3 linked regions of the Pelodiscus sinensis genome follow. The protein of the gene in region 1 purifies or fractionates together with the protein of each later gene. This does not show direct contact. Links are inferred from orthologs where the notes say so. Each region holds a gene or a part of one and is shown in the gene's direction. Other genes may lie near its edges.

Region 1 (10,261 bases):
TGTTCGTGAGGCTTCTGACTGGCCAGGCAAGCAACTGAAGTGCTCTATGCAACTGGTTTGGGAAGGTCTCCAGGCTGGGGGCAATAGAGGGCCCCAAATTTGAGCAATTCGCCCTGAGCGGATGCCCTCAGCGGTGCCCAGACACGGCCTGGTCCGTCACAAGTAGTCAATGGAATTTCCTTAACTACTTGACTAGTTGATAGGAACTTCCGGATTCCTCCTTTGAAATGTACAGGAGGCTCCACCCCCGGGACCTCTTGTATATGTCAGAGGCCTGTGGAATCCGTGTGCAGCCTATGGCCAGTGGGAGTCCTGTTGACTCTGGGCTGCCCAGGGGTGCCAGCTTTGAAATGTACAAGAGTCCCCAGCAGGGGATGCAGAGTCCTGAGCTGGCCCCGGCTCCATGCGCCACTGCCACTTTGAAATGCTACGGGGAGCGGGGGTCAGCTGACCCCGGGCGCTGCTCTTTGAAGCACCCGCCTCCCACCCTTTGCTGCCAGGCTACGGCTACATTGGCAAGATTTTGCACAAATACTTTTAATGCAAGAGTTCTTGTGCAAGAGCGTGTCTACGCTGGCACGTGCCTTTGCACAAGAGACGTGCTTTTGTGCAAGAGCATCCGTGCCAGTGCCGACGCTCTCGTCCGCAAGAACGCTCCAGGGGCCGTTTCAGCCACCGGGCTTCCTGCCCCAAGGAATTCCTGTTGCCTCCTGCGCCAGAGCAGCGGGGCCGGGGCCGGATCCCTGAGCGGGGCCGGGGCCGGATCCCTGAGCGGGGCAGGGGCCTGATCCCTGAGCGGGGCAGGGGCCTGATCCCTGAGCGGGGCCGGGGCCTGATCCCTGAGCGGGGGCAGGGGCCTGATCCCTGAGCGGGGCCGGGGCCTGATCCCTGAGCGGGGGCAGGGGCCGGATCCCTGAGCGGGGCAGGGGCCTGATCCCTGAGCGGGGGCAGGGGCCTGATCCCTGAGCGGGGGCAGGGGCCTGATCCCTGAGCGGGGCAGGGGCCGGATCCCTGAGCGGGGCAGGGGCCTGATCCCTGAGCGGGGGCAGGGGCCGGATCCCTGAGCGGGGGCAGGGGCCGGATCCCTGAGCGGGGCCGGGGCCTGATCCCTGAGCGGGGCCGGGGCCTGATCCCTGAGCGGGGCAGGGGCCGGATCCCTGAGCGGGGCAGGGGCCGGATCCCTGAGCGGGGCAGGGGCCGGATCCCTGAGCGGGGGCAGGGGCCGGATCCCTGAGCGGGGGCAGGGGCCGGATCCCTGAGCGGGGGCAGGGGCCGGATCCCTGAGCGGGGCCGGGGCCGGATCCCTGAGCGGGGCCGGGGCCGGATCCCTGAGCGGGGCCGGGGCCGGATCCCTGAGCGGGGCAGGGGCCTGATCCCTGAGCGGGGGCAGGGGCCTGATCCCTGAGCGGGGCAGGGGCCTGATCCCTGAGCGGGGGCAGGGGCCGGATCCCTGAGCGGGGCCGGGGCCGGATCCCTGAGCGGGGCCGGGGCCGGATCCCTGAGCGGGGCCGGGGCCTGATCCCTGAGCGGGGCCGGGGCCTGATCCCTGAGCGGGGCCGGGGCCTGATCCCTGAGCGGGGCAGGGGCCGGATCCCTGAGCGGGGGCAGGGGCCGGATCCCTGAGCGGGGCAGGGGCCGGATCCCTGAGCGGGGGCAGGGGCCGGATCCCTGAGCGGGGCAGGGGCCGGATCCCTGAGCGGGGCCGGGGCCTGATCCCTGAGCGGGGCCGGGGCCGGATCCCTGAGCGGGGGCAGGGGCCGGATCCCTGAGCGGGGGCAGGGGCCGGATCCCTGAGCGGGGCAGGGGCCGGATCCCTGAGCGGGGCCGGGGCCGGATCCCTGAGCGGGGGCAGGGGCCTGATCCCTGAGCGGGGCAGGGGCCTGATCCCTGAGCGGGGGCAGGGGCCGGATCCCTGAGCGGGGCAGGGGCCTGATCCCTGAGCGGGGGCAGGGGCCTGATCCCTGAGCGGGGCAGGGGCCGGATCCCTGAGCGGGGGCAGGGGCCGGATCCCTGAGCGGGGCCGGGGCCTGATCCCTGAGCGGGGGCAGGGGCCGGATCCCTGAGCGGGGCAGGGCTTGATCCCTGAGCGGGGGCAGGGGCCGGATCCCTGAGCGGGGCCGGGGCCTGATCCCTGAGCGGGGGCAGGGGCCGGATCCCTGAGCGGGGCAGGGGCCTGATCCCTGAGCGGGGGCAGGGGCCGGATCCCTGAGCGGGGCAGGGGCCTGATCCCTGAGCGGGGGCAGGGGCCTGATCCCTGAGCGGGGCCGGGGCCTGATCCCTGAGCGGGGGCAGGGGCCGGATCCCTGAGCGGGGCAGGGCTTGATCCCTGAGCGGGGGCAGGGGCCGGATCCCTGAGCGGGGCCGGGGCCTGATCCCTGAGCGGGGGCAGGGGCCGGATCCCTGAGCGGGGGCAGGGGCCTGATCCCTGAGCGGGGGCAGGGGCCTGATCCCTGAGCGGGGCAGGGGCCTGATCCCTTAGCGGGGGCAGGGGCCGGATCCCTGAGCGGGGCAGGGGCCTGATCCCTGAGCGGGGGCAGGGGCCTGATCCCTGAGCGGGGCAGGGGCCGGATCCCTGAGCGGGGGCAGGGGCCGGATCCCTGAGCGGGGCAGGGGCCTGATCCCTGAGCGGGGGCAGGGGCCGGATCCCTGAGCGGGGCAGGGGCCTGATCCCTGAGCGGGGGCAGGGGCCTGATCCCTGAGCGGGGCCGGGGCCTGATCCCTGAGCGGGGGCAGGGGCCGGATCCCTGAGCGGGGCAGGGCTTGATCCCTGAGCGGGGGCAGGGGCCGGATCCCTGAGCGGGGCCGGGGCCTGATCCCTGAGCGGGGGCAGGGGCCGGATCCCTGAGCGGGGGCAGGGGCCTGATCCCTGAGCGGGGGCAGGGGCCTGATCCCTGAGCGGGGCAGGGGCCTGATCCCTTAGCGGGGGCAGGGGCCGGATCCCTGAGCGGGGCAGGGGCCTGATCCCTGAGCGGGGGCAGGGGCCTGATCCCTGAGCGGGGCAGGGGCCGGATCCCTGAGCGGGGGCAGGGGCCGGATCCCTGAGCGGGGCAGGGGCCTGATCCCTGAGCGGGGGCAGGGGCCTGATCCCTGAGCGGGGCAGGGGCCGGATCCCTGAGCGGGGCAGGGGCCTGATCCCTGAGCGGGGGCAGGGGCCTGATCCCTGAGCGGGGCAGGGGCCGGATCCCTGAGCGGGGCAGGGGCCGGATCCCTGAGCGGGGGCAGGGGCCGGATCCCTGAGCGGGGCAGGGCTTGATCCCTGAGCGGGGGCAGGGCCGCCCTGCGCGAGGAGCCCGGTCCGAGTTCCCGCGCTGGGGCTCCCGCCAGCGCCCACTCGGGCTGAACCTGCCCGTGCAGCCACCCCCCCCCCGTCTGACTGGGGCACCGGCCCCTCCCCCCCCTGCGCGGGGAAACTGAGGCACCAGCAGGCAGGGCCGGGTGGGAAGGCGGAGCGGCACAGACCGGAACACTCGCCCGCCCGCCTGACGGGGCCAGCCGCGAAGGGGGGCGGGAAGGGGCGGGGCCGGGGGCAGGGCAGGGCGCGGGGCAGGCCGGGAAGGGGCGGGGCCGGGGGCCGGGCGCGGGGCAGGCCGGGAAGGGGGCGGGGGCGGGCGCGGGGCAGGCCGGGAAGGGGACGGGCGCGGGGCCGGCCGGGAAGGGGGCGGGGGCGGGCGCGGGGCAGGCCGGGAAGGGGCGGTGCGGGGCCGGGGGCGGTGCAGGCCGGGAAGGGGGCGGGGCCGGGCGCGGGGCAGGCCGGGAAGGGGGCGGTGCGGGGTCGGGCGCGGGGCAGGCCGGGAAGGGGGCGGTGCGGGGCCGGGGGCGGGGCAGGCCGGGAAGGGGGCGGGGCTAGGCGCGGGGCAGGCCGGGAAGGGGGCGGGGCCGGGCGCCGGGCCGGCCGGGAAGGGGGCGGGGCCGGGCGCGGGGCCGGCCGGGAAGGGGCGGAGCCGGGGCCGGGCGCGGGGCAGGCCGGGAAGGGGGCGGGGCCGGGCGCGGGGCAGGCCGGGAAGGGGGCGGGGCCGGGGCCATGGCGGGGCTGGAGCTGCTGTCGGACCAGGGCTACCGCGTGGACGGGCGCCGGGCCGGGGAGCTGCGCAAGGTGCGCGCGCGCATGGGGGTCTTCGCGCAGGCCGACGGCTCCGCCTACATCGAGCAGGGCAACACCAAGGCGCTGGCCGTCGTGTACGGGCCGCACGAGGTGAGCCGGGCCCCCGCCGGAAGCGGCCCCTCCCCCCCCGGGCCTCCCCGCCGGAAGCGGCCCCTCCCCCCGTGTCCCCTCCCCCGCCGGAAGCGGCCCCTGCCCCCCGCGGGCCCCCCCGCCGGAAGCGGCCCCTGCCCCCCGCGACCCCCCGCCGGAAGCGGCCCCCCTTCGGAAACGGGCCCTCCCCCCGCGGGCCCCCCCCTTCGGAAACGGGCCCTCCCCTCGCGGGCTCCTCCCGCCGGAAGCGGCCCCTCCCCCCAGCCCCTTCCTTGCGGAGCCCCGCAGCTCTGCCCGGCGGGGGCGGGGGCGGGGTGACCCCCCCGCGAGCCGCCTCCCCGCCGGGCTTTGGCCCGTGTTCGGGACGAGCGAGTCCGGCCGGGAGCCCCCCCCCGCCCGGCGCTGCAGCCCGCGTGTCCCGCCGTTGCAGATGCGCGGCGCCCGCAGCAAGGCGCTGCACGACCGGGCGCTGGTGAACTGCCAGTACAGCATGGCCACCTTCAGCACGGGCGAGCGCAAGCGCCGGCCCCACGGCGACCGCAAGTCCAGCGAGATGACCCTGCACCTCAAGCAGACCTTCGAGGCGGCCATCCTCACGCGGCTCTACCCCCGCTCCCAGATCGACATCTACGTGCAGGTAGGGGTCACCTAGCGCCCCCCGGCCAGAGGCCTGAACCCCCCCCCGGCCAGGGGCCTGAACCCCCCCCGGCCAGGGGCCTGAACCCCCCCCGGCCAGGGGCCTGTACCCGTAACCCCCCGGCCAGGGGCCTGTACCCGCAACCCCCCGGCCAGGGGCCTGTACCCGCACCCCCCCCACCCCCCGGCCAGGGGCCTGTACCCGCACCCCCCCCACCCCCCGGCCAGGGGCCTGAACCCCCCCCGGCCAGGGGCCTGTACCCGCACCCCCCCCCCCCCCCGGCCAGGGGCCTGCACCCGCACCCCCCCCCCCCGGCCAGGGGCCTGTACCCGCACCCCCCCCCCCCCCCCCGGCCAGGGGCCTGTACCCGCACCCCCCCCCCCCCCCCCGAGCCATGGGCCTGTAGCCGTGGGCTGCTGGCTCTGTGGTTTACCCAGCTCCCCATACGGAGCTGGCAGCTTCCTGGTTTCTGCTGTGCCTGACCCCAGTTGCCTGGAGTAGCTCCCTGGAGTATGGGGGAAGGGGTTTCAAGCCTTGCTCAGTGCTGTGTGGGCCTCACCATGGGGTGACCATGGGACATGAGGAATCATCTGGGCCTTCAGCCAGCTGAGCCATTGGGGAAGGAGGTGGTGACCTGTGTGGGGCGCTTGCTGGCTCCTGCACTAGTGTGGGGAGGTTGTTTGTGTAGCATTCCGGAAGGGATCAGCCATGTGCGTTCTGCTCACTCCCCCACTGGTTCCCTGGGCTGCCTAGACAGCAGTGCCAGGTGAAGGGGCGTCTGCCCAGGGCTTATGTTGTTTCACAAGCCAGTGATGCTGCTTTCTAAGGAGGGTTGTGGGCATGAAAGGTCTAGTCCTGAGCTTTGTGGGGCCAGATGCAGAGTCGCTCAGGTGCAGCCTCCTCTGCTCCCTTTGCTGAGTGCTCTGTCTCCCCAGATCCTGCAGGCAGACGGTGGGAATTACTGTGCTTGTGTGAACGCGGCCACGCTGGCCACCATAGACGCAGGCATCCCCATGCGAGACTATGTGTGCGCCAGCTCTGCCGGCTTCATCGAGGACACGCCCCTGGCTGACCTCAACTACGTGGAGGAGGCAGCTGGGGGCCCCCAAGTGGCTCTGGCCCTGCTGCCTAAGTCGGACCAGATCGCCCTGCTGGAGATGAACTCGCGGCTGCACGAGGACCACCTGGAACAGGTCATCGAGGCTGCCAGCAAGGCCTGCAAGGATGTCTACGCTGTGCTGGACCAGGTGGTGCGTGAGCACGTGCACGAGGTCACCACGCTGCTGGGGGAGTGAGCGCACAGGCCTGTGTGCCTAGAACCAGTGCTGCACGTGACTGTGGGTGGGGACAGGGAGCGCTGCCGTGGCCGCCGCAGGGATCGATTCAGCCAAAGCCCATGCCAACACTGCCCCTTTGTCCAGCTGCTTTGTTCTCCGATGTGCACACTGGGCCCAGGTTGAGCACCTCTGCTGGGCGCTAATATCACATTGGTACATGTGAATGCCCCGCGGCGTCTGTCAAGCCTGGTGTTCCTCGCTGGGTGATGGGCCCTGACATGGCTTCCTGGATCTGTAGCCATGGCTGCTGACTCCTGGGCTGTTGGCCTCTCCCATTCTCCTAGGCGCTGCGAGAGGCTGGGGCGCGTGGCCCGGTGGATAGCTGCTCGATCCGTAGATATCAGTGTCTGTTCCTTTGTAGGGGACTGCTGTAAATAAAACATTGTTTTGGTGGAAATTGTATTGTGTGGGCTACCCCCTGGCTGAGTGCAGGGCAGCAGAGAACCAGTGCTGCTGAAGATACGGCCCATGCGAAGTCTGGCGCGTCCCCAGTGCTGGAGGAGAGATGGGGGCTCTGCTGTACCCGTCTCTATTGTGGCTTGGTCCCTGCCTATGACAGCTCCTAGGAAGACTCCAGCTCACACAGGATTAATCGGGGAACCTCCCCTCCCAGACGTCCCCTCTGCTTGCTCACGCTGCTCCCGGGGCTGGTAGGACGGCTCCCTAGGCACCACAGCCTGCCTGCTGTCACCATCACTCCCTGGCCTGCCAGGCTTCGTGCCAGCAAAGCTGCCAGTGCTTGCTGATTTAGAGGAGATGCTTCTGGTGCAAGGCCAGTGGCCTAAGCTGGTCTGGGAAAGCCATTCCCAGGTGACCAGTAGCCTAAGCCCCGAGCTTCCCCAGCACCCATCTGCCCAGAGGAGCAAGGCCAGGGGAAATCCTGATCCAGAGAGGTCGCTCAAAAGCTTCTCTTCCACCAGCAGCAGCGGGTCTGACATGAGAGATTTCCTCTTCCATCTTCTCTTTGCGAGACCTGAAGTATCGATGCCCCAGCTGCTGGCACCCTTTAATACGGCGTTCCTCTGGAAATGGCTGCTAGGTGGTACCAGGCCGAGCCGTCATGATCCCTCACTGTACCATGAGCAGGGTGAGCCTCTGCCTGGTTCCCTGCCCTTGGGCATGGCAGCGCTAAAAGCATTCAGGCAGGTCATGGGGACTGGCGTTTCCATCCTGGCACAGCCTGGCTGGTGCAGTAGCTTAGGGGGGAACTTACCCACCACGCTCTCAGTACATGGAACAGGCTGCAGGGCAGGGAGCTTAGCCCCACTTTGGGCATCCTGGGGGGGACAGACCCGCCACCACAATTTGTCACTTGAGGCCCATGCCTCCTCGCATCAGTTACCACCCACGCTTGCCTTCCTGTGGGGTCCCCTCTCCACAGTGAGAGCAACCTGGGCCCTGCAGCGGACGCTTCACACCAGCTGGGCATGGGGGGGGGCTGAGCAGTGGGGCTCCCTGTCCATTGGTCTGGCCCAACTCTGGCTTTATTCTTGGAGCACTAGCAGCTTGGGGGGCAAGAGCTGTCTGCGTTCTGATTGGTCCTCTGCCTCACCCAGTGGGGGCCAGGCACATGGTGGGATCTTGGCTGCTGCTTCAAAGCTAACAATGGGGAGCCTAGGCACGCGGTGAGTAGCTGGGCTGGTCCCGCCTGGCCTCTAGCCTTGGGAAGGGAGGGAGGGAGGGCTAGTGGTTACAAGGGTGGGAGTGTGAGGGGACAGGGTGGGAGCCAGGACTCAGGGTGTGCTCAGTGGTGGGCCTGTTTGTAATGAGACTTATCGTTATTTGTACGGTAACATCGGGGGGGCCTGGTCAGGCTCAGGACCATAGTGTGTTTAGCACCGCCTGGCCTGCTCCTGTGGTGTCTTGGCTGAAGGTCCTTTCCTCTCGCTGGCTGCGGCCCCTCTCGCAGTGGGGCCAAGAAGCCTGTGCCCCTTGGCCAAGGGATGTGGGGACAGGAAGCACCGACAGGTGGCTGGGTGGGAGTGCGCACCACAGGTGTGAGCCCTCCCCCCCACATGCCCCTCCCTGCACACACCCCGCTCCCTGGGTGCACCCTGCCCCCTGCCTGCACCCCCACCCTCCTCCCTGCACACACCCCGCCCCCTCCCTGCACACACCCCGCCCCCTGCCTGCACCCCCACCTTCCTCCCTGCACACACCCCGCCTCCTCCCTGCACACACCCCGCCCCCTGCCTGCACCCCCACCTTCCTCCCTGCACACACCCTGCCCCCTGCCTGCACCCCCACCTTCCTCCCTGCACACACCCCGCCTCCTCCCTGCACACACCCCGCCCCCTGCCTGCACCCCCACCTTCCTCCCTGCACACACCCTGCCCCCTGCCTGCACCCCCACCTTCCTCCCTGCACACACCCTCCTCCCTGCCTGCACCCCTGCCCCCCTCCCTGCACGCACCCCGCCCCCTGCCTGCACACCCCTCGCCCCCTGCCTGCACCCCCACCCTCCTCCCTGCCTGCACACACCCCGCCCCCTGCCTGCACACACCCCACCCTCCTGCCTGCACCCCTGCCCTCCTCCCTGCACACACCCCGCCCCCTGCCTGCACACACCCCGCCCCCTGCCTGCACCCCCACCCTCCTCCCTGCACACACCCCGCCCCCTGCCTGCACCCCCACCCTCCTCCCTGCACCCACCCCGCCCCTCCTCCCTGCACACACCCCGCCCCCTGCCTGCACCCCCGCCCTCCTCCCTGCACACGCCCCGCCCCCTGCCTGCACCCCCACCCTCCTCCCTGCACCCACCCCGCCCCTCCTCCCTGCACACACCCCGCCCCCTGCCTGCACCCCCGCCCTCCTCCCTGCACACGCCCCGCCCCCTGCCTGCACCCCCACCCTCCTCCCTGCACACGCCCCGCCCCCTGCCTGCACCCCCGCCCTCCTCCCTGCACCCACCCCGCCCCCTCGCCTGCACCCCCGCCCTCCTCCCTGCACCCACCCCGCCCCCTCCCTCTCTGCACGCGCGCTCCCTGCTGCCCTGCCGGACGGGGTGGCCCCGCCCCGGGCCGAGCCGTGGGACGAGGCACGTGCGCTGCGCGCGCACCCTACGCCCCGGCCCATCGGCGGCTCTGGGCTCGATTGCTCTGCCGGGCGGCCTGGGCCCTGCGCGCCAGGTAAGAGCGGGGGGGGGGGGGGGGCTCGACCCCCCCCCCCGCGAGCCCGGCCGGGGGGGTCAACCTGCGCCCCCCCCCGTAGAGCGCGAGCCCGGCCGGGGGGGTCAACCTGCGCCCCCCCCCGTAGAGCGCGAGCCCGGCCGGGGGGGTCAACCTGCGCCCCCCCCCGTAGAGCGCGAGCCTCGTGGACGGGCGGTCCTTGGCACGTCGGGGGGGTGCCCCATGGCCAGGGGGGCGGGGCTGGGGGGTGCCCCTTGGGCGGGGCCGGGGGTGCCCCATGGCCAGGGGGGCGGGGCTGGGGGGTGCCCCTTGGGCGGGGCCGGGGGTGCCCCATGGCCAGGGGGGCGGGGCTGGGGGGTGCCCCTTGGGCGGGGCCGGGGGTGCCCCATGGCCAGGGGGGCGGGGCTGGGGGGTGCCCCTTGGGCGGGGGGCGGGGCTGGGGGTGCCCCATGGCCGGGGGGGTTGGGGCTGGGGGGTGCCCCTTGGGCGGGGCCGGGGGTGCCCCATGGCCAGGGGGGCGGGGCTGGGGGGTGCCCCTTGGGCGGGGGGCGGGGCTGGGGGTGCCCCATGGCCGGGGGGGCGGGGTTGGGGGGGTGCCCCATGGCCGGGGCCGGGGGTGCCCCTTGAGCGGGGGGCGGGGCTGGGGGGTGCCCCTTGAGCGGGGGGCGGGGCTGGGGGTGCCCCATGGCCGGGGGGGCGGGGTTGGGGGGGTGCCCCTTGGGCGGGGCCGGGGGGGCGGGGTTGGGGGGGTGCCCCTTGGGCGGGGCCGGGGGTGCCCCATGGCCGGGGGGGCGGGGCTGGGGGGGTGCCCCTTGGGCGGGGCCGGGGGTGCCCCATGGCCGGGGATCGTGCCCGGGCGGCAGGGGGAGGCGGGGCCGCACCGTCCGCTACCAAGGCCCTTCTCTCCGCAGCGACCCGGCCCCGCCATGGGGCTCCTGTCGGACCCGTACCGCCGGCGGGCGCTGTC
Region 2 (10,261 bases), on another chromosome or scaffold:
GTCAACTATTTGTGGCAAAAAAGTAACTACATCACATTGTTTTGATCATTATTGAGCAAATAAAGTCTAAATGTTGTTTTCACTTCTGTCTTCTAGTTGGGGATGGCTTAGTGAAGCCAGAGGCTCTCAATAAGAAAGCTATTCAAATTATTAACAGGGTTCGAGATAAACTCACTGGTAAGTGTATGTTTTCTAAAATAAAATATTGCTAAAGTAATACAGACCAATGTTTCCTGAGTGCTTGGGCGGCTGCCCAAGGGTGATTCCAATGCTGTCCAGCTGATGAGCAGAGGGCCCACAGCTTCTACAGCCAGCAGCTTGTGTTTCTATTAGCAGTGCCCATCTGCACATGCCTTGGTGCACATAACTTTATTTTGTACATGGATGGGAAAATCTAGTGTAAACAGATACTACAGACATTAGAATTATGTTCAAGTTTAAATGCTTGCCTGGCACTAGCATATTTCAGTTTTATGCTAGTTCATCAATTTTATTTCAAATTATTCTGTTTCTTACTTGGACAGAGCTATTTTTATACTTTGCTTGTCACCCTGTCTGCAGATCAGTGTAAGATATGTGGGCTTTATAATTTGTACTCTGGAAAACAATCGTTTTTGGAAAATGTAGATGTAATTTTATTTAATGTGGCTCAGATATGACAGGTTCATCTTTTAGGTGATGATTTGAAATCAAATTTCCAGCAACTGGCTTCCTTTTATTGGCTTTGCAACTGGAAAAATTTAGATGAGACCGTTCTTAATGACATATGTAAGAACTACTTGAATTAGGTACTTAATGTAGCTAGGCAGTTGATTCCTTCTACTAGGAATTTATAATAAGTACAGTGGAGAACAGTATTACTTTTTTATTTTGAAGAAGGTGGGGATAGAGAAGCTGCTGTGATGGATCATCGAAAACACTAGTGTTCTAAAGGTTTCAAAATAGATTCAGTATGGATTTTGAGGTGTCATCTTTGAATAATTCTGTGACAAATATATATTTATAAGAGGAGAGAGGGTCATCTTCATATCGCTCCACAACTTGCCACCCAAACTAAACTATGTAATTTGGATTACATCCTTCTTTAATGGTTTTTTTTTTTTTCACTTTAATTGTAAAGGCCGAGACTTCTCTCACGATGAAACTCTGGATGTACCCACGCAAGTAGAATTGCTTATTAAGCAAGCTACTTCGCATGAGAATCTCTGCCAGTGCTACATTGGATGGTGAGTCTGTCTTTAAACTGTCCTTTCAAAATCTTCTCTCCCATTTCTCTGAAATAAATAGTGGTATGAGTTTATGGAATGGAGAACAGTCAAGTAAAATATTATTAGGTTTATCTCAATAATCATTCTGAGGATGGCTGGGGAGATATTGTATGTAAGCTTGTAAACTTTTGTGACCATTATATTAAATCTAACAAAATGCAAATTAGTTAGATTTGTTAAATCTAGCAAAATGGAAATTTGATTTAGAATCATCACCGCGGGCACTGCCCGTAAGCAGGCAAGCAGTCTGCTACTAAAGAAAAGGGGCTTATTTAAATGATGATCAACTCAGAATTTTTAATCATTTGAAACAAGATGTTCCTATTGTATGTAGATCACCAATTGCTAGTTATAGGAGGGAAATTACAGAGTCTAATGTCAACAAGCACACTTTCACAATGCCTTCATCTTTCTGAGATTTAACTGTAAATTGTATGCAAATTATGAATCCTGGTGGGCGATTTGGGGGGGATTACAGACATTAGGAATGTTAGGGATTAAGAAGCATTTTCTGTCTCATATCCCATTTTCAGTGTCCTTGTTATTTTAGAAAGGTTCCTGGACATTGGGGACCTAAGTTCTTTTTAACATAGTCTTTGTTTTTATGGAGCAATGGCTAAGACTGCACTTAAAGTATTACATTTGTCATCTTTAGGTGTCCTTTTTGGTAACAGAAGATTCCAGAGTATCCTCAGCCTTTCTTGGAGGCTTTTGCACTCCAGATATATTCTTCTACAAACTGAAATCTTGGACTGAAATACAGCCTGTCATATATTTCAAAATGTAAATTAAGAGTTATTGTATATTAAATGTTGGTTTAAGCCAATTCATAGCTGCTGTTGAAAAACACAAGTTATATGAAACACAAGACTTGATTTGGGTTTCCAGAACAATGAAGACTGACTAGACCACAAATACCTGGTTCACTTGGTCTTTGAGGAACTGGTGATCCATTACAAATAACAAAATACGGGTTTTGACTTGACTTACAATGTAACTATACTAAAATATTTGCAGCTGAATCATTCCCAGGTCAGTCCTTTTGGCGTGGCTGCAGTGAACTCAGTGCCCTCATGCGAGAATGCACATTTAAGTGTGGGACAGAGCTGGAAGGTAGAGAGCAAGAAGAAGGAGGAGGTTTTTTGTCAGTATTACCCCATTATCTCACCTTTCCCAAAACTCTGTACTCTCACCAAAAACAGAGGGAAGGGATTGTAGTTGAAAGATGTGTGTCTGACTCCAGGGGTGATTTATCTAGCACATTTCAGATGTGAAATATAGAGATAGATCCAGGGTCAAAGCCTCTGAGCCAGTCAGAGCAGAATGTCTCAAAGAAAGAGGGTAGATGGCAAGGTAAATCAGAATATCACTTGGGAACTTCCCACACTGGCAGACTGAAAAGCAGTGCTGGGAAATAATTAGGGAAAACTGAATACTCAGCACAAAAAGCAGAAGGGAGAACTGGTCATACCTGGAAATGAAGAATAATGCATATTAAACATGAGGGTGAAGGTAAATAAAGTTATGATTTATTAATAAAACATATTAAAATGCACAAAATACAAAAGCGTAGCCATGTTTAGATGCCATGTTGTATTTGAATATTTTTGTGTCAATAAAATACACCAAAATGTTAAAAGATTGACTGGATTTTGGTTATTCCAAAGCATTTCTTGTGGAGAGCACAACTGAGACACAAAGGTATTACATTAGACAGCGGTTCTCAAACTATGGGTCCTGAACCTGGTTTAATGGGGTCACCAGGCCTGACATGAAGACTTGCTGGGGCCGAAAACAAAGCCTGAGGCCCACTGCCCAGGGACAAAGCTTATAAGGACTTTAGCCCTGGGTGGTGCAGCTGCAGTAACAGGTGTCCTCTCTGGGGCTGAAGCCCTAGGGCTTTGTTTTTGGCCTATGGACCTGGGGCAATGGGGATCAGATTTTGGTCCTTTCTCCTAGGGTTGTGCAGTAATTTTTATTGTCAGAAGGAGATTGGAGTGCAATGAAGTTTGAGAACCCATAGCAGAAACCTACAGGAGCCACAAACACGGTTGGCAGAGTATGGGGTATCACTAAAAAACTTGGGGTACCTTTATCAAAGGAGTTTAACTGTTAATAAACTTAGTTGCGTTTCATCATCAACAATAACCATGGGCTCAGTGCCCGTTGGTGTCCAATGCCTCCCTCACTATTTCCTTCCATCTTTCCCTGTCCAGTGCGGAGTGGCTTAGCTTCTGTAGACTAGCTCCGCACCATTTTACTATATAATCTACCCATTCTCTGTGGGGTCTGCCTCTCCTATTCGGACCATCCATTATGCTGAATACCGGGGTCTTAACTTTTCGCTCGTCGTTCATTCTGCAGATTTGCCCGAATAGCTGTAACTTCCGTTGTATAACTTTCTGCAGTAGGTTCTCTTTCAGCTATATCTTCCTACATAATTCCGCATTGGTGATCTTCTGCACCCATCCTATTCTCCAGGTCTTTCTATAACAGCTCCTCTCAAAAGCCAATATCCTTCTCTTGCTGGAAACTAAAACAATGTTCTTAAGTGGACTGTAATTTGGTAAGAATAAAGTTTCTTTATTCTAGCTTTTGGGGCATTTTTTTCTCGTTACAAGAAACTGATTCTGAGAGACCAAGTACATAGAATTTTAATCTTATCATTGTGGTGTATATGGGGAAGGGATGGTGGTTATGCTGTTTCTTCTTAGCAAACATTTTCTATTGATACAGATTCGAAGATGCTAAGGTTAGAAAGATCCATTATCATTTTGTATCCAATACTACACTAGCCACAGAAATATATGGGAAATACCAAGGCTGTGGCTAGACTGCATCCCTTTTCCGTAAATTTAAATCTCCCCCGCTTCATTTGCATAAACATAACTGCCGCTTTTTTCCGGCTCAGAGCTTTGCCGGAAAAAAGCACCAGTCTAGACACGGATCTTTCGGAAAATAAAGCCTTTTCAGAAAGATCCCTTATTCCTATTAAAATAAGGAATATGGCATCTAAACATTTAAATCCCCCCTTCATTTGCAATTGCGATGTGTCTAATTTGCATCCCTTTTACGGAAAAGGGATGCAGTCTAGACACAGTCCAAGTGTCTGGACAGGGATAGGGAAAAAAAGTTTCACCTGTTTTAATCTTCATCATTCCTGCTTTGAGAGAACCAGCTCCCCAAGATTGTATACTGGTGGAGGAATGTCACTGGTAAGAAGCTGAGGTGTAGTCTCCATCTGCTGGTAGACTGAAGTGTGTGCCACGCATCTAACCTGTACAGAAAACTCCAGGAATCAAAGCCAGCTCACCCGCGTGCCCTTATGTCAGGCTGCAGCCTGGTCAAGATTAGACCGGGTTGTCGCAGGAAATGTCCATTTACAGAAAGGGCTTAAGCCCTCCCGATGGGGAGCAGCGTGGACACCCTCCAAGGTGCAGCCAAGCTGCTGCCCAGAGGGAGGCGTGGTACGGGACAGGCTCGCTGCCCGAGGGCCGCAGGTGGGGCAGCCGGCAGTAGGGGCTCCTGGAGCTCAGCCAGACGGGCACCTGCCCTACTCCCCAGGTCACAGCGGCTTTGGCTTAGGCCGAGAGTGGCTGAGCTCAAATGGGGGGGAGGGTGGCGTATAGCCAGTGCTGGGCTGAGCGCCCCCGGAACACGCCGCAAGGGGCGCTCCAGGACCCTCGCTCGCTCTAGACCAGACTAACACGGCTGCATCGCTACCGCTCTTAGGCAGGGACCCTGCAAGTCTGCCGCCCACACCTCAATGCGCATGCGTCTAGCAACACTTCCACCATACACACTCCCCCCACCCTTTTTCCGGTTCAGTTATCGCGAGACTAAGCCATTGACGCGTCACGTGGGACCGCGCGGAAGATGGCGGCTGCCGGCGGAGGCGGGAGTCGCAGCGCAGCCGTTAAGACGAGCCAGCTAATAGACGCGGGGAGTGGCGGCAGCACGGAGGAGCCGCCGGGCGGCTGCCCAGATACCGTTCTACCGGGGTTCAGGGATGCTGACTCCTTCGTCAAGGTGCGTGAAGGAGTCGCTGCAGACTACTACTCCCAGCCTGCTCTGCGGCAAACCCTGCAGCGGGGCATGCCGGGAACTGTAGTTCCTTCCCTCCCCCCACCCTGCTGATGCTGAAGCCTGAGGGGAAGCTGCCTGCACTGGATTTCCCAGCATTCTCTTTGCCGGGTCATGGAGGATGGCCCTGCCGCCCCGGGGCCCTCGCTCTGAGGGGAAGCGGGGCCGGGAGCAGTGACCCTGAGCCCGCCGCTGCGCCTGGGCCACCCATCGCGGCTGCGCGGAGGAGGCAGGGGGAGCCTGGGGCGACTGCGTGGGGGTTCGGCCCCGCTGCTGCAGCAGCCTCTGGAGCTGTGACGGACCTTACCCCCCCCCCCCCCCCACAGCTCCTGTCTGCCCGCCCCTCCCTCTCCGATACGGCCTCCCGGTGTCTGGGCGCCGCCGCCTTAGCTCCTTTTGCCCTGGGAGAGGGGGGCCCCTGCAGCCCACTGGCCTGACTTGTGTCACGTTTGCAGGCCTGTTAAATGAAGCGGTGCGAGCCGCGGGCCCTGGGACTAGCGTCGTGCACGCGGGCCTGTTGTCTGTGTGGGCCCCGGCTGCAGTCTCCTGTTTTCCGAATATCGCACTGTCTTCCCATTCCTGGGAAGTTGTCCGCATAACCTTTCAAATTAGCCACGGCAGCGGTTCTCAAACGTCTTCGGCTCCGGAGCCCTTTACATGTGTAAAAATTTATGCGGAGCCCCAGCGGTCCACTGATTGTATGTGTTGTACCTATCGATGTTTCCAGTTTGTCAACCTTGCAGAGCCCTGGGGCTCCGCAGCCTTTCTCAAACACTGAGCTAAGGCATTCCCTGCAGGGGAGTCTGGAGAACTAGAATCATGGTGGTGAGATAAATAGGACATAAACACCTGTAGTAGCTCATGAATGGGCTGTGGTGCTGAAAGCATCCTTAAATTTAGTTATTTGTCTTAACAGGAAAAATTCAGAAGAAACCCACAAATTTGGCAGCACTGGTGTGGTGGGATTCTCTGTATTCTTAAATTATCACTATGGTACAGCAAGAATGGCTTTCAAAATGTGTTCAACCGTTAGACCTTAATTTTAGCATATAGATGAACTTTTAAAAGGAATTGTTAACTGAAGCTTGACAGAGTGTTCTACAAATTGATTTACAAACCATAGTGTTGCCATCACTACAAACTTAATTCCTACATGTTCCCTCACCCATGCACCTTATAGACCAAAATCTGAGCTACACAAGGTCTACACAACAGAGTTTAGATTGATGCAAGGCATCTTACATTGACCTAACCATGAAAGTGTCCAGACTTTCACTCCTGCCAACTTAACTGCCCCAATAATTTCACCACTTAGTAGCATAGAATCAAAATTAATGTAGTTACATTGATTCAGTAACAGTGTACACATGACATTATTGTATAGACTGTTACTAGCTTCCCTAAATGCTTCACAGTGACAGTAAAATCTATACAAATGCACCAGTAACACAAGGAGCAAAGTGTAAACATGCACAAGCGATGCAATTATTCCAGCAGTTGTGTACCAGTGTAAGTTAGATTGATTTAATTTTATAGTCTAGATATGGCCTAGAGCAATGGTTCTCAAACTATGGGTCACAAGCCCATTTTAATGTGGTCACCAGGGTTGGCTTAGACTTGCTTCAGCCCTGAGCCCTACCATCCAGGGCCAAAACCTATGGTGGTGGGACTTGGGTGGATTCAGGTTTCAGTTCAGAAAGGGTTCACAGTGCAATGACATTTGAGAAATCCCCCCCCACCTTAGAGACAGCACTTCCTAGTTCTGAAGTTGTAGCCATTATACCCATATTTTTATTAAATCAAAATATCTTCGGTGTAAGGTTTTTCTTTTATTTTTTTAGTATTAGTTTAATTAAGTCAGGATGAAATAGTTGTAAACACTCTTGGTTAAAAAGGCCTAGTTGTGGCTTGGTTTAGGAATAGTAATGTAAGTGCGAGGAATGAGATTGTAATAGTAATGTAAGTGCGAGGAAGGTGTTCATCTGGCAAGATCATCAAAAAATGAAAATACATTGTGGAATTATATTTTCTTGGTGTGATGCTTTTTAACAGCATGCGCTTGGCACAGTGGTCGCTGCAACTAAAGCATCTAATGGGCTACCTCAGCCTGGAGATGAATATGACTTCTATCGCAGCTTTCCTGGATTCCGGGCATACTGTGAAACACAAGGTGATAGGCTGCTTCACTGGTAAGGACTTTTTAGCTTTCTTATGCCAGTGGTGAAAATCTGTGTTAGGGAACAGAGAAGTCTCTTCTTTGCAAATTTCAAAATAAAACAATATATGAGCATTTTTATTACAATTTTTCTGTTGCTTTTTAAAAACGTCAGCTGCTTTTCTGATTCATGAAATTTAAATGGTAACAATAAAAATGGAGTCATTCATTTTACCTCTGTAAAGTAACTGTAACAATTTAGGTGCGCCACTGAGTAGGTATGGGCTGATGGAAAGGTGACTTTTTAACCAGAAGACCCAATCTAAGTTCCATAGACCCAGTAAAGAAATTAATAGCAATACTTAGTACTTACTCATAGCTTCTCATTTTCAAAGTTCTTACAACAGTATCTAAGGAGTCTGTGTCTGATTTTGTAAGTCTCGGAGTAGCCAGAGCTCAGAAAGGATCTTAACAAATAACACCAGTTTTCAGAATACCTGCTTTTAATGTCATTTAAAGAGTAACTGAACTATTGTTTTATTAGTATGAGCAAGGTGATGCAATATCATGGTTGTCGGAGTCACGTGAAAGATCATAACAAAGCAACAGAGCTGGAAGATAAATTTGATTTGCTGGTCGATTCCAATGATGTAATTCTTGAAAAAGTGGTGAGAGAACTTTCTTTTTTTAATCTTGTAATGATTCAGTAGATCCTGCTTTCTATAGGATTTGGAATGGCAATATTTAGTAATTACACTTTGTTCCTCATTCTCAGACTTCCATTTTTAACGTTTTTTTTCCTCTTCTAGTAACTCTTTTAGATATCTCTAGTTTAAAAAAAAATTAAATCCAATGGGAAGTTATTTTTCTGAGCTATCATTTTTTTTTCTACATTTCTAATCAGCAGTAGGGTGGAACTGAGCAAGAATGCTTACTTGTATGACAGTAGCACCAAAGGACACCAATAGATATTGGGACCCATTGTATTATGTGCTGTACATACAGCTAAACTGCCCCTTGGCTGGAAAACTTACTGTCTAAATAAGAAAGGCAAATGGTGGAAGGGAAAGCAGAGACACAGAGAGAACACGTGATTTCTCTAGGTCAGTGGTCCCCAACCTTTTGGGGCCGTGCCGGAGGCCCGGGGGCGGGGCCACCCAAAGCTGCACACTATGGGGCCGGGGCCGCCCATACGCCGCGTGCCCAGTGCCAGCACCATCCATGCGCCGCACTCCTGGGGCAAGTGCCACTCCTGAGCCATGTGCCCAGGGGCTGGCACTGCCCATGCACCACGTGCCCAGGGCCGGGGCTGGCCCCATCACTCAGCGGGTGCACAGAAATGGCCTGACGGGCGCCATGGCACCCTCAGGCACCACGTTGGGGACCACTGCTCTAGGTCACACAGCAGAAAGAATAGAAATCAGGGCTGCAACTGTTCCTAAACACCAGACATAGTCAAACAAACATTTCCATTGCAAACGAGAGAGAAGGCTGCTTGTGTACATCTGCCAGAATAGATGTTCCATAACTACTCCAAGAGAGCAAGGGAGCTGGAATAGTTACCCCAACCATAAAGAAGAACAGATTGGTAGCTGATTAAATTGACCATGTGGCTGAGTCCACAGTGCCACTTGCATTCAAAAGTAAAGTCTCTTAAACCAGAGATCTAAATCAGCGCTTCCTAGACCTCAGTAATGGCACATTCGGCTATGGTACTGTAGCCTCCCACAATTTTATTCTCTGCTGTCTGGAACCTCATGCAATCTTTATGCTTGTGCAAAGTGAGTGTGAAACATGCTTAAGAAATGCCATGTGATCTGGGGCTGGGAATCCAGCACTCCAAGTCTATTTCTGGCATTGCCATTAACGTGTGGTGTGACCTCGAGCAAATCATATTACTTTTGTGGGCCTCAGCTTTCCTTACAACCTTTTATCTATTTAAACTATCAGCTTTTTGGGTCAAGGACGCTCTTATGATTTGCCTATGCTGTGCCTAGAATGATATGTGCCTGATATCAGTTGGGGTTACTAGATGCTGCTATCATATAAAAGGGGGGGCGGGTTCCTGACTCCCAGACCAGTGCCTCAGCCACTATAATAATAATAATAATGGTGCCACCTCTATTATAATAATGGTTAATTTCTCAGCATGGCTGAGAGCTGTTTACTTATCATGTTTTGAAAAGCAAATTAGATGCAAGATTAACTCTGTATTAGCCTATCTCAAAACCGGGCAGAGTGTAGAGTAAGATACGAGAGGAAAGTATGGAAGTAGGGTGATCAGCACATAAATATCTCTGAAGAAATTCAACTTTGATTCTTTGGCAATTGCTTCTCCCAGTCTCTAACATTAGGATTTCATATTTAGCCTTTGGCCACTCTTGCCCATTACAAAATTCCAAGGAGATGAACATGGCGACAGCTGCACATTTCTCTTCTTTCAGGCAGGGCAGACTGCCAACTACTAGATGTTTCATACAGTTTTGCTTATACTTCTTTTCCCAAATTTCAGGGTATTTTACTAGATGAAGCAGCAGGAGTGAACAAGAACCAGCAACCTATCCTTCCTGCAGGGATGCAAGTCCCAAAGACGATCATTTCCAGTTGGAACCGCAAGGTGAAACTTCTACAGTAAATTGATTTTAATTAATTTGAGCTTTTTATTTAGACTTTGAGTTGTGATGGTAGTTAGGAGTTCAGTAGCCTCTCTTTACTCCAGATTCAGGATCCCCTGGTTTCGAATCTACACTTTATG
Region 3 (10,261 bases), on another chromosome or scaffold:
ATTGATACCTAAAGCTTTTTAGACAGTTACGAAGCTGAGCAACGTGTATATGATTGGGGACTGTTCTCCCACTACAAGCAAGTAGAAAAAGGCAGCCGCTACAGTATTTCATAAAATTGTTCCTGTTCAGAAAACTAAAGGCCTTGTTAGCCATTTAAGCACAGTTGACTTACTGAATAATCTTGCTGTGAATCTTCTGAGGACTGGGAATTATATAAAGTGAATAGAAAAGAGGTTCTTTTGAAAATGTGTTATGAGATTCCCAGAAGACATTTTACTGGTCAAAAAGGGTATGTCTATGTTGCATTCCTCCTTCAAGAGAGGAATGCAAATGCAGACAAACGAAATTGGAAATGAAGCGTAAATTTTAATTTCCCGCGCATCATTTGCATAATTGCAGCCAGCCGTTTTTCCGAAATATCATATTACGAGGGGAAAAAGTGGTTATTTCGAAAAGAAACCCTTCCTTTGAAATAACCCTTAAACCTCATTTTTAAAGAGTAAGGATTATTTTGAAGGAAGGATTTCTTTTAGAAATAACCCAGTTTTTTTCTTGAAATACAGTATTTTGGAAAAGTGGCAGGCTGCAATTATGCAAATGAAGCATGGGAAATTCAAATCCACGCTTCATTTGCAGTTTTGTTTGTCTGCATTTGCATTCCTCTCTCAAAGGAGGAATGTAATGTAAACATACTGAAAGAGAACTACACAAAAAAAAATCACTATCCAGAAGCTTTATTCCTTAAAATGTGTAAATAGTTTTGAAATGTTTCATTAAATGATAATTAATTTTTTTTTAAATGTACTAACACAGGAAGCTGGAAGACAGATGATTACTGATGGGTTTTGGATACTTCTAGGTCAACAGTTCAGATCAGCCACTTGATGATAACCAAAGTTATTACTATCTGCTGGTTGTTTAGCCTCTGAGAAATAGATTGGTTGTCTCAATTCAGTTCCTAGTACATATATCTTTACATAAGAAATATCTTTTTAAGGCAGTCTCAGTGAAGGGAGTAGGGTCTGAATGATTATAGAGAATGAACTTTTTCACCTCAAGAGGCACTATCTTTAGGCTAAAGATGTTGAAGGCAGATAGGCAGGATACTGTCAGGCTGTGTCTACATTGGCAAGATTTTCCGCAAAAGCAGCTGCTTTTGTGCAAAATCTTGCCACCTGTCTACACTGGCTGCGAGTACTTGCGCAAGAACACTGACGTTCTAATGTCTAAAATCAGTGTTTCTTGCGCAAATACTCTGATGCTCCCGCTCAGGGATAAGCCCTCTTGTGCAACTGTTCTTGCTCAAGAGGCCAGTGTAGACAGGCAACGTTAATTTCTTGTGCAAGAAAGCCCAATGGCTAAAATGGCCGTTGGAGCTTTTTTGCGCAAGAGAGCATCAACACTGGCACCAGGGCCGGCCCGAGCCCTTTTGGTGCCCTCAGCCCAGGTGCGCGGTGCCGCTCCTGGGTGCAGGGCGCATGCGCATACCGGCCACGGCCTCTGGCAGGGCCCGACAGCCATGGGAGGAAGGGCGCTGCTGGCTGGTGCCGTGGGGATGCAGGCAGGTCAGTGCTGTGGGAGCCGGGCGCGCAACTCCTGATGGCAGCTGTAAGGGACACCATCAAGTGCCTCTCATCGGTTGGCGCCCTGGGAGCTGCCCGGCTCGCCCATGCCTCCGTCCAACTGACTGGCACGGATGCTTTTGCGCAAAAGCACATCTCTTGCACAAAGGCACATGCCAATGTAGACGCTCTGTTGCGCAAATACTTTAATGCAAAAACTCCTGCGTTATAAGTATTTGCGCAAAACCTTGCCAATGTAGACGTAGCCTCATAGTGCTCAAATTGCTGCTACAGTTTAAATCTCTTTAGTGTGGTACCCTTAGGTCCCGATTGGTGTTAAACTAGAAAATTTGTCATATCATGGGGGGGGGGGGGGTTCAATATTGTCTAGCAGCATTGCCAACACTTCCACTGCTTACAGGGCTCTTAGAAGACATTTAGGGGTAAATTAGTGCTAAATAACAACACAGAACACTGAGAGCCAGGACTGGTGGGTGAAAACTTTATGGGACCGTGGGAAAGTTGGCTACTCACGTAAGTGGACGTCAGCAAGATTTTACTAATGTTGCCAGACCAGAGTGTGCAGGACTAGAGAAATTCAACTTGTATCACATTGCACATGACCGGTGGCTTGACAATCTTCATTTGTATTCTTTGCTGTTAGGCGGACACCTTTAGCTTGGTCTACACCAGGGGTCTCCAAACTACGGCCCGGGGGCCGGATGCGGCCCGCGAGGCCCTCTCATCCGGCCCGTGGAGACCTTTTTGGATTCAAAGGCAGAAGAAGTGAGATTGTTTCAAAACCCATTTGAAGCAGATGTGGCCAGTTGCCCAGATGAACTGCAGCTGGAAGTCATTGAGTTGCAAGCAAATGACCTCCTTAGGGACAAGTTCAAAATAGGACTGGTGGGTTTTTACCAGTTTTTGCCCAAGGAAGACTTTCCTAATGTCAAAACTTTTGCATCAATGTACCTTTCAATCTTTGGAACAACATACCTGTGTGAACAAACATTTTCAAGAATGAAATACGTGAAGAACAATTTGAGAACAAACTTGTCCGATGATAATCTCAGGTCACTGTTGATGTTAGGGACAACAAATCTAAAGCCAGAAATGTCTGCTATTTTGGCATCCAGGAAACAATTTCACCATTCACACTAATACAGGTGTTCATGTGTAGTGTATGAATGTGTTATTAAATAATAACTGAATAAAATAATATTAAATAAATAATTAAAAACAACATCCATGTTTTGATTGTTTTTTATTTGGACCTCAAGTGTGCAGTCGGCCCCGAACTGCTGTTTGATAGTTAATGCGGCCCTCGGGCTGAAAAGTTTGGAGACCCCTGGTCTACACCAAAGTTAGGCGGACACAGATACCTAACTCAGCAATGTGACACACCTACGTCCTTGAACAATGCCATTCATCTGATTGTCAGTATGAATGCCAGTGAGGTACTGGGGGGGGCACTGATGACAAGGGTGTCAGGGCAGCGGCACAGCTGGGCCAGTCTGGGGAGGATGGGCATGGCCAGTGTGTGCAGAAGGAAGCGCGGGCGGGACGCCGTGGCCAGAGCCTGGTTACTGGGGTGCGGCGCAGGCAGGGGCCCGGGGCAGGGCGTGGCTGGGACTGGCGCGTGGGGAGGCGCAGAGAGCGCGGCGCTGGTGAGGGGGTGACCGGGCTGGGGAGGGACCGCGGGGCAGGGCGGGAGGCGCGAGCGCTGACGCGACATTGGGCAGGGGAAAACTCGCACTCGGCGCACCACCTTGGTTGGCCCGACCGGCGGCGCATGCGCAGACACTAAAGGAGCGCGGGGGGGGGGGTGTTTTGCGCCTGCGCACAGCGATTCGGAGCGGCCAGGCGGAGACCAAGATGGCGGCGTAAGGCTGCGGCCACCAGCGCCACCGAGTGCGAGCGACGCCGCCGCCGCCATGTCGCGGCACAGGAACGTCCGAGGCTATAACTACGACGAAGGTAGCGAGACGCCTCCGCCTTTCCTGTCCCCGGTCTCTCCGAGTAGCTGCCCCTCGGTCCGGCCTGGCAGCCCCAGCGGCCTGAACGCGTCTCCTGGGGCGGACCCGCGTCCCCGCCAGGCCATGGGCCGGGCCCCAGGGGGCAGCAGCGTGTGTGAGGGGGTTAGGCCCTGGGGAGGAGGAGCTGGGATGGGGGCTTACTGGGCCCCATGGGAGGGGGCTGTTTCCCTTCCAGTGCCCAGGCAGGGCTTGTTTACGAAGCGCCGTGCGAGGCGCGTGGGTTTAACTCCTTCCCTTGCAGCTCACCCATCCCCACTCTGCGCGGGGCTTTCACAGCGCGGCGGCGGCGGGGGGGGATACTAAAGAAGTAGAAAAGCATTTTAAAAGCACCTCATCTGGCAGGGGTTGACGAGGTGGGGGGGGAAGGACCTTACTGCTTTCTGCTCTCTTGGAAACTGGCTGCGTCCCCAGCGGGCAGCGCTCCCTTCCCACCTACTGCGGACAAGCTTGTTTCCCCCCAGCCCGGCGGCTGGGCGCTGCGTGTTCCGCGTGTTTCCCGGCACCGCGCGTGACGTCACAACCACCCGACCCATCCATCCAGGCGGCCTGTTGCTCTTGGGCAGGCAGGAAAAGAGGGGATTTGTAGGGCCGGTAATAGAGCAGCTGGTTTCTAGACACTTTGTCTTAAGATGGAAATGTTTAAGGCTCTGTGTATCTTATGTTTGCCTTCGTATAACTATATTATTACCAGCTCCTGTGTCAGAGTAGCTTAGCTGGATATACTAGCGTTCTTTGATATTCTGTCTCATTTACTTAGGAGCTCACTTATCAGTGATTTGAAATATTGATTTTGCACCTCTCTTTAACCAGGGTGTGTAGCTCCTCATAGTAGTTTAGGTCTAATTTGTATCAGTTTATCTTCCAGTTGTGTTATTACAAGAAACTCAGGTCACTAAGATCTTTTCCTTATTTTTCACCAGCGTAGCTATAGTAATCCAGTCACCTCAATGTAGATATATTGCACTCATGTAAAATGGGGTTTGTACTATTAGGGTTTATTAAACTACACGAATGAAAGCAACACTTCATTAATCCAACATCTACATTAGGGCTACGTCTACACTGGCATGATTTTCCGGAAATGCTTTTAACGGAAAAGTTTTCTGTTAAAAGCATTTTCGGAAAAGTGCATCTAGATTGGCAGGACGCTTTTCTGCAAAAGCACTTTTTGCGGAAAAGCATCCGTGGCCAATCTAGATGTGGTTTTCCGCAAAAAAGCTCCGATCGCCGTTTTCGCGATTGGGGCTTTTTTGCGGAAAACAAATCTCTGCTGTCTACACTGGCCCTTTTGCGCAAAAGTTTTTCGGAAAAAGACTTTTGCACGAACGGGAGCAGCATAGTATTTCCGCAAAAGCACTGACAATCTTACATGAGATCATCAGTGCTTTTCCGGAAATTCAAGCGGCCAGTGTAGACAGCTGGCAAGTTTTTCCGCAAAAGCAGATGGTTTTGTGGAAAAACTTGCCAGTCTAGACACAGCCTAGGAGTTTGGCTCACTGGTGAAAATTAACCTAAAATAGACATGGGTGTTCTCTGCTTGATTATTTCACCCTTTGAAAATTAAATCAATTTCACCTATTCTGTATTAGGGTTAAGATCTACAAATGTCCCTACTTATAAGTGGTTTTCAGTTTCCTGTTAAAAACTTGGGTCCCTATCCTTCAAACACAAATGAGTAGTTCTGCACATGATTAATCCTTTTCATTCAGACTACACTGCTTATGCAGCTAAAGTTATTTGCATAAGTGTTTGCTGGATTGGAGCCTTTAATTGCTATCTGTGTATAATGGCCATCTTATGTACACCAGAAACTTAGTCTACAATTCATGTTGTATCTAAATTTGTTCTGTGTGTATGTATATGTCTGTACACATAAGTATAAATATACATCCAGAGAGACATACATTATAGAGACATGTTGCCTGTACCATAAAGTTTTGGTATGAGTTTATGTTTTCGGTTGATGATGCAATTTTCTATGTTTGTATCAGTAAATAAAATGAAATCACTTCTAGTGCTGGACAGGGCATATCAGATCTTGCATTCCTACAGCAAAGGTGGTTAGTTCACTGAAATTAGGAACAAGAAAGACCATTTACACATCTAATATGTATTTCCTCGTTTTTGTCCAAAATTTTGCTGACGTTAATCTCACTGCGTTAGCTCTGCCAGGAATAGCCATGGTGGAGTGTTAGTGCATATCTAATGATGTCATGGCTAAATCACAGGCAGTCACTTGTGCTTTCACTAGCTTGCTCATCATTGTACCTCTGCTATAGCTATGCTGACTTGGGAAAAATTGGGAAAACAAAAGGAGAAAATGCATCTCCTTCAGTGAAAAATCAAACCATGCTTGTACTGGTATGATTCCATATGAGTTATTGTGGGTAGTTTTTCTTTTTAATAATTTTGCTGTTCTTCCTCTATCCTCTACAATTAAAACTCATAAATACAAAAGGAGGGGGAATAATTTTTCAGTGGCTAAAATGGATATAGTAATAATTGCCACACTTATTTATAAATACATCTGGCAATGTCCAAAGAGAAGATCAATACTATTTTTGGGGGTGTAATACAATTTTGTTTTAGGTATGGATATTAAATTTTGATTAATCAGCTAATCGAGTAGTTGATGGAATTTCCATCGACTACTTGATTAGTTGATAAAGGGTGGAGGGTGCTTGCTATCCCACTGTGCCTCGTCCTTTGAAATATACAAGAGCGGCCCACGACTCTTGTACATTTCAAAGGGATAGGTGCAGTGGAATGTAAGTGACTAGTTGACTATCGGATAAGCAGAAGTGTATCGGATAGTTGACTAGTGATGCGACTAGTTGCTTCTCCTCATCCCCCCCTTGCTGCCTCTATCAGAGAGAGGTGGCAAGGGGGCGAGGAGCAGAGCCAATGCTGAGGGGAGCCAGCTTAAAAGCCGGTTTCCCCCCAGCACAATCGATGCGGGTGGCAGAGGAGGTAGAGGCACAGTTGGAAACCGCGCGAGTGGTGTCTGAAGCAGTCTTCACTTGTGCCACTTTTGCATTTCTGCTTTTCAAAAGCAGAAGCTCTGCAGGGAGCACAGGGCCAGTGGGGGAGTCCCTGCTGGTACCCCGCTCTCTGCAGTGCTTCCTTCTGAAATGTACAAGAGCCCCACAGTGGCTTTTGTACATTTCAAAGGCTCAGGAGCTGCAGGGATCTCTGGGCCAGTCCCCTGCTGACCCTGCACTCCCTGCGGGACTTCCTCTTTTGAACTGTAGCAAGAGCCCAGCAGGAAAAATCGATGGAAATCCCATTGACTATTCAATTAGTTAATCTAAATTTAACATCCCTAGTGCAGCATTTGGGACCCCACGCAAGTGGGACTGCTTTGGTCCCTGCTTGCAATGTTTCTCCCGCTGCTTCTCTGCCTCCCCTACCCTCCCACGGGGACGGTGCTGGGGGGAACAGATTTTAAGCTGACTCCTCCCAGCACTAGCTCCTGCTCTGCCCCCTCAATGGGTGCCTCTGATAAAGAGGCAGGAAGAAAGGGGTAGGAAGCAACTAGTTGAGTAGTGACTCAGTTACCCAATAAGCCTAGACTTATTGGGTTGTCGACTAGTCACTTACATCCCTAGTTTTAGATTTTGTATTTATGTAAAAATTGATATACCTGTTGTTTATCTGGGAATGATAGGAACACAAGAATTACCATAAGAGATCATACCAGTGATCCATCTGTCTAGTTCAGTATCTTGCCTTTAGCAGCCTGTATCCAGTATCGAATACTTCAAAAGAAGATGTGGGCAATTCCAAGGTAGATAACCAGCAAATAACAAGTTTATAAGAGAAGCTTCTTAATACCTGGTTTATGCTGTGAAGCATGACAATTCATACCTTTTCTATTTTTCTCTATTTAATGTAACTATGTTACATTCTCTATAGAGATAATGTGCTTATTATACATGTATACGTCTGAATCCTGCTAAACTCACATCCTTGATATTTTTTCAATGAGTTCCACTGGTTAATTAGTATGCTTAATTTAAAAAAAATTAATTTTTTTGACTTTCAAGGTCAGTGAATGTGCTTTGATTTTTCATTATGAAAGAGATAAATAGAGCATACAATTTATCAGCACTATACTATTTATCATGTTTTAATCTTTATATAGCCCATTTATTGTCTCCTGTTAAAAGGAAAAAGTCCCAGTCTTTTCAAGCTCTCATTATACAGAAGTCTTCCAGGCCTCTGGTTGGTCCCTTCCCTCCTCTTCACCCCTCCCCCGCTGCTTTGGTTCTTCTTTCAACCTATTCTGTTTCTGCTGTACCCTGAGATGTGGCCAGGACTGAAGGCAGTATTTCAGACAAGAGAGTACCATTGGACTACAGCCTACAGCACGTGCCGTAAGTGGCACACGAGCTGATTTTCTGTGGCATGTGGGGTGGGAGCTCAGCCCCGCTAGCCTCAGGATTGCCGTGCAGCTACAGGCTGGAACACCAGCTCCGGCTTCCTGCTGTGGGAGGAAGAGGGGCAGGATGGGAGAGGTGCACTGCATAGGGTCCAGGGCCTGGGCGTGCAGCTACCGGGAACTATGGGATTAATCTTGCTCCCAGTGCTTCAGGCTCTGCCTCTTGCAGTGGGAGGGTGGGATTGGGGCTGCTCTACAGATCTGAGCTAGGTAGCTGGTCACACATGGAGTGCAGGGCCACTCCCTGTGGGGTGTGCACGGCGCTGCTCCCCGTAGGGTGTGTGCGGGGTGCGGGGAGCCCCTTCCCCAGCATCTTCCTATGCCTGGCTGTTCTGGAATCAGCCTCGGGCTCTGCTTGCCCCAGCCCCGGAGCTGCAGGTCAGGGGCAAGCCCTGGCAAAGGGCTGTGCCAGGCAGGGAAGTGACTCTGCCACCTCCACCCCCTAGCCCCTCATTACCCTAGTGCTGCTCCTGGGGGGCTGTGAATCCCAGCGCTGCTGCCCTGCCGGTGAGTGTGCTGGGAGCACAGGGATGTATGGGTAAGGAGGATGCAGGGGCAGGATGGGAGGGGCAAGGGTTGCAATGAGGGGAATGGGATGATGCAGGGGATCAGCTTGGGCAGGGACCATGGGCTGAGGGGAGTGAGGCTGGAGTAGAGAGATGCGGAGGAGGGGAATACAATTTTTCTTTGCAGAAGTTGCATTTTCCTTTATTTCCCCACTTCTTTGCCTTCCTCCCCAACTGATGTGGCTGCATTCTCACCCTCTTGCCTTTTCTGCGTTACTCCCACCCCCAAATTCCCCCTTGTACTCATATCCCCACTCCACCCCCTCTCCTGCTGCCAAACTCTTCCAGACCCTGCCCTCTTCACCCTGTCCTACACCCCACCTCTTTCCCAGATTCAGCATCCCTATTCCTCTCGCTGGATAAAATAGGCAGTCCCATCCCGCACAATGAACCCCTCATTTTTGTTCCATCCCAGAGCCAAAAATGTCCATAAAATCCACTAACTTTGGAACCCCAGAAAAGTAAATCTGGTCTATGGGAAGCCATGAATCTCAGTCCTCCCTGTTCCTTCCTCTCAGTCTGAGGCTGGAGTATCAAAGGAGTGAGGTGTCTCAGTTGAGGGCAACATTAATGAGGGTTGGGGTTTTTTGGAGGAGTTTTTTTGCTTCTCACTTATGTGGTCCCCAACTGATTTTTCTGTGGGTCAGTGGCCCCAACCCAAAAAAGATTCCCCACCCCTGCCATAAATAAAGAAAACATTGAAACCTTTTGTGTTGGATATAAATTAATAATTTATTTAAAATGAAGTTTGATAAACTAACATGAGAAAGTTAAAATGCTTAATCTGTTTAATAATTTAACTTAAATCATTCTCCCTAGCTGTAGCACTAGCAAAATGGCTCAGGCGTAAGTATGTAATTAACAGTGAGTTTCTGTTAGCAACTAGTGGTCTGTGGAAAGGTTTGCATTGAGCCAGGTGGTCCACAGGGTGCACTGAGAGACCCTCCTCCACTTCCAGGAGAGTGGCCCAGGGCAAGAGGGTTAAATCTTGGCACACCACTTCAGAAAGGTTGCCAACCCCAATTTACATAAAGTCATTCTAAAATGTCTCTATTTTCAGTCTTGTTCTTCATGAATTTTAACATTTTATTTCTTCATGTGTTTTTTTTTAATTTGATCATCTCTGCATCTTGAGCAGATATTTTCATTAAGCTGTTTAATCTTTTTTTCCTAACAAGTTCCATTTGATTTTAGGACTGAATAAAGGAGCGCATTTAAATTTTTATTTCCGATTTGTTATTTTTCATTTGTCAACATTACAGTTGCACTTACCAGTGTGCATTAGTTTATTTCATTTGAATTTCATCATTAATTTCTCTCCTGTTGGCTAATTTAGTAATTTTGTTTCATCTGCAAAATTTACCACATCACTAGCCAGTCCCTTTTCCAGATAGATAGGAAGTACTTTAAAATACTCAGTCTCAGTGAGGAACCATGGTACACATTTCTGTTAATCTTTGATCATGTTAAAAAATGATTCCTTCTCCTCAATTAAACAGTTTATAATCCATGGTAGTAGTTATTTTACTGTTACTTAGTTTCCTTAGCAGCTGTTTGTGACAAACTTTTGTCAAATGTTTAATGAAAGCCCAAGTAAATATGACAACCAGTTATCCATTACCACTGGGTTATTATTGACATAACCAAGGAATTAT

What was found.
Region 2: the proteins of EXOSC4 (region 1) and EXOSC10 purify together in Homo sapiens (affinity purification with mass spectrometry; 9 studies listed by BioGRID and IntAct, with this or other methods). This does not show direct contact. The link is inferred for Pelodiscus sinensis from reciprocal best matches to the Homo sapiens genes EXOSC4 and EXOSC10.
Region 3: the proteins of EXOSC4 (region 1) and HBS1L purify together in Homo sapiens (affinity purification with mass spectrometry; 3 studies listed by BioGRID and IntAct, with this or other methods). This does not show direct contact. The link is inferred for Pelodiscus sinensis from reciprocal best matches to the Homo sapiens genes EXOSC4 and HBS1L.

Annotation. Positions count from the first base shown.
Region 1 is NW_027465833.1:39,408-49,668, reverse strand, and holds EXOSC4 (exosome complex component RRP41), read left to right. Parts: upstream 1-3,971; 5' UTR 3,972-4,021; coding exon 4,022-4,192; intron 4,193-4,622; coding exon 4,623-4,829; intron 4,830-5,764; coding exon 5,765-6,124; 3' UTR 6,125-6,563; downstream 6,564-10,261. UniProt on the Homo sapiens protein: Non-catalytic component of the RNA exosome complex which has 3'->5' exoribonuclease activity and participates in a multitude of cellular RNA processing and degradation events.
Region 2 is NC_134733.1:11,593,840-11,604,100, forward strand, and holds the start of EXOSC10 (exosome complex component 10), read left to right. Parts: upstream 1-5,110; 5' UTR 5,111-5,144; coding exon 5,145-5,297; intron 5,298-5,460; exon of another isoform or gene 5,461-6,755; coding exon of another isoform or gene 6,756-6,860; intron 6,861-7,403; coding exon 7,404-7,540; intron 7,541-8,050; coding exon 8,051-8,174; intron 8,175-10,018; coding exon 10,019-10,123; intron 10,124-10,261. Other genes in the region: serine/threonine-protein kinase mTOR, read left to right, coding at 97-177, 1,121-1,226, 1,924-1,939. UniProt on the Homo sapiens protein: Catalytic component of the RNA exosome complex which has 3'->5' exoribonuclease activity and participates in a multitude of cellular RNA processing and degradation events.
Region 3 is NC_134713.1:96,326,587-96,336,847, reverse strand, and holds the start of HBS1L (HBS1-like protein), read left to right. Parts: upstream 1-3,382; 5' UTR 3,383-3,497; coding exon 3,498-3,540; intron 3,541-3,929; exon of another isoform or gene 3,930-4,058; intron 4,059-10,261. UniProt on the Homo sapiens protein: GTPase component of the Pelota-HBS1L complex, a complex that recognizes stalled ribosomes and triggers the No-Go Decay (NGD) pathway.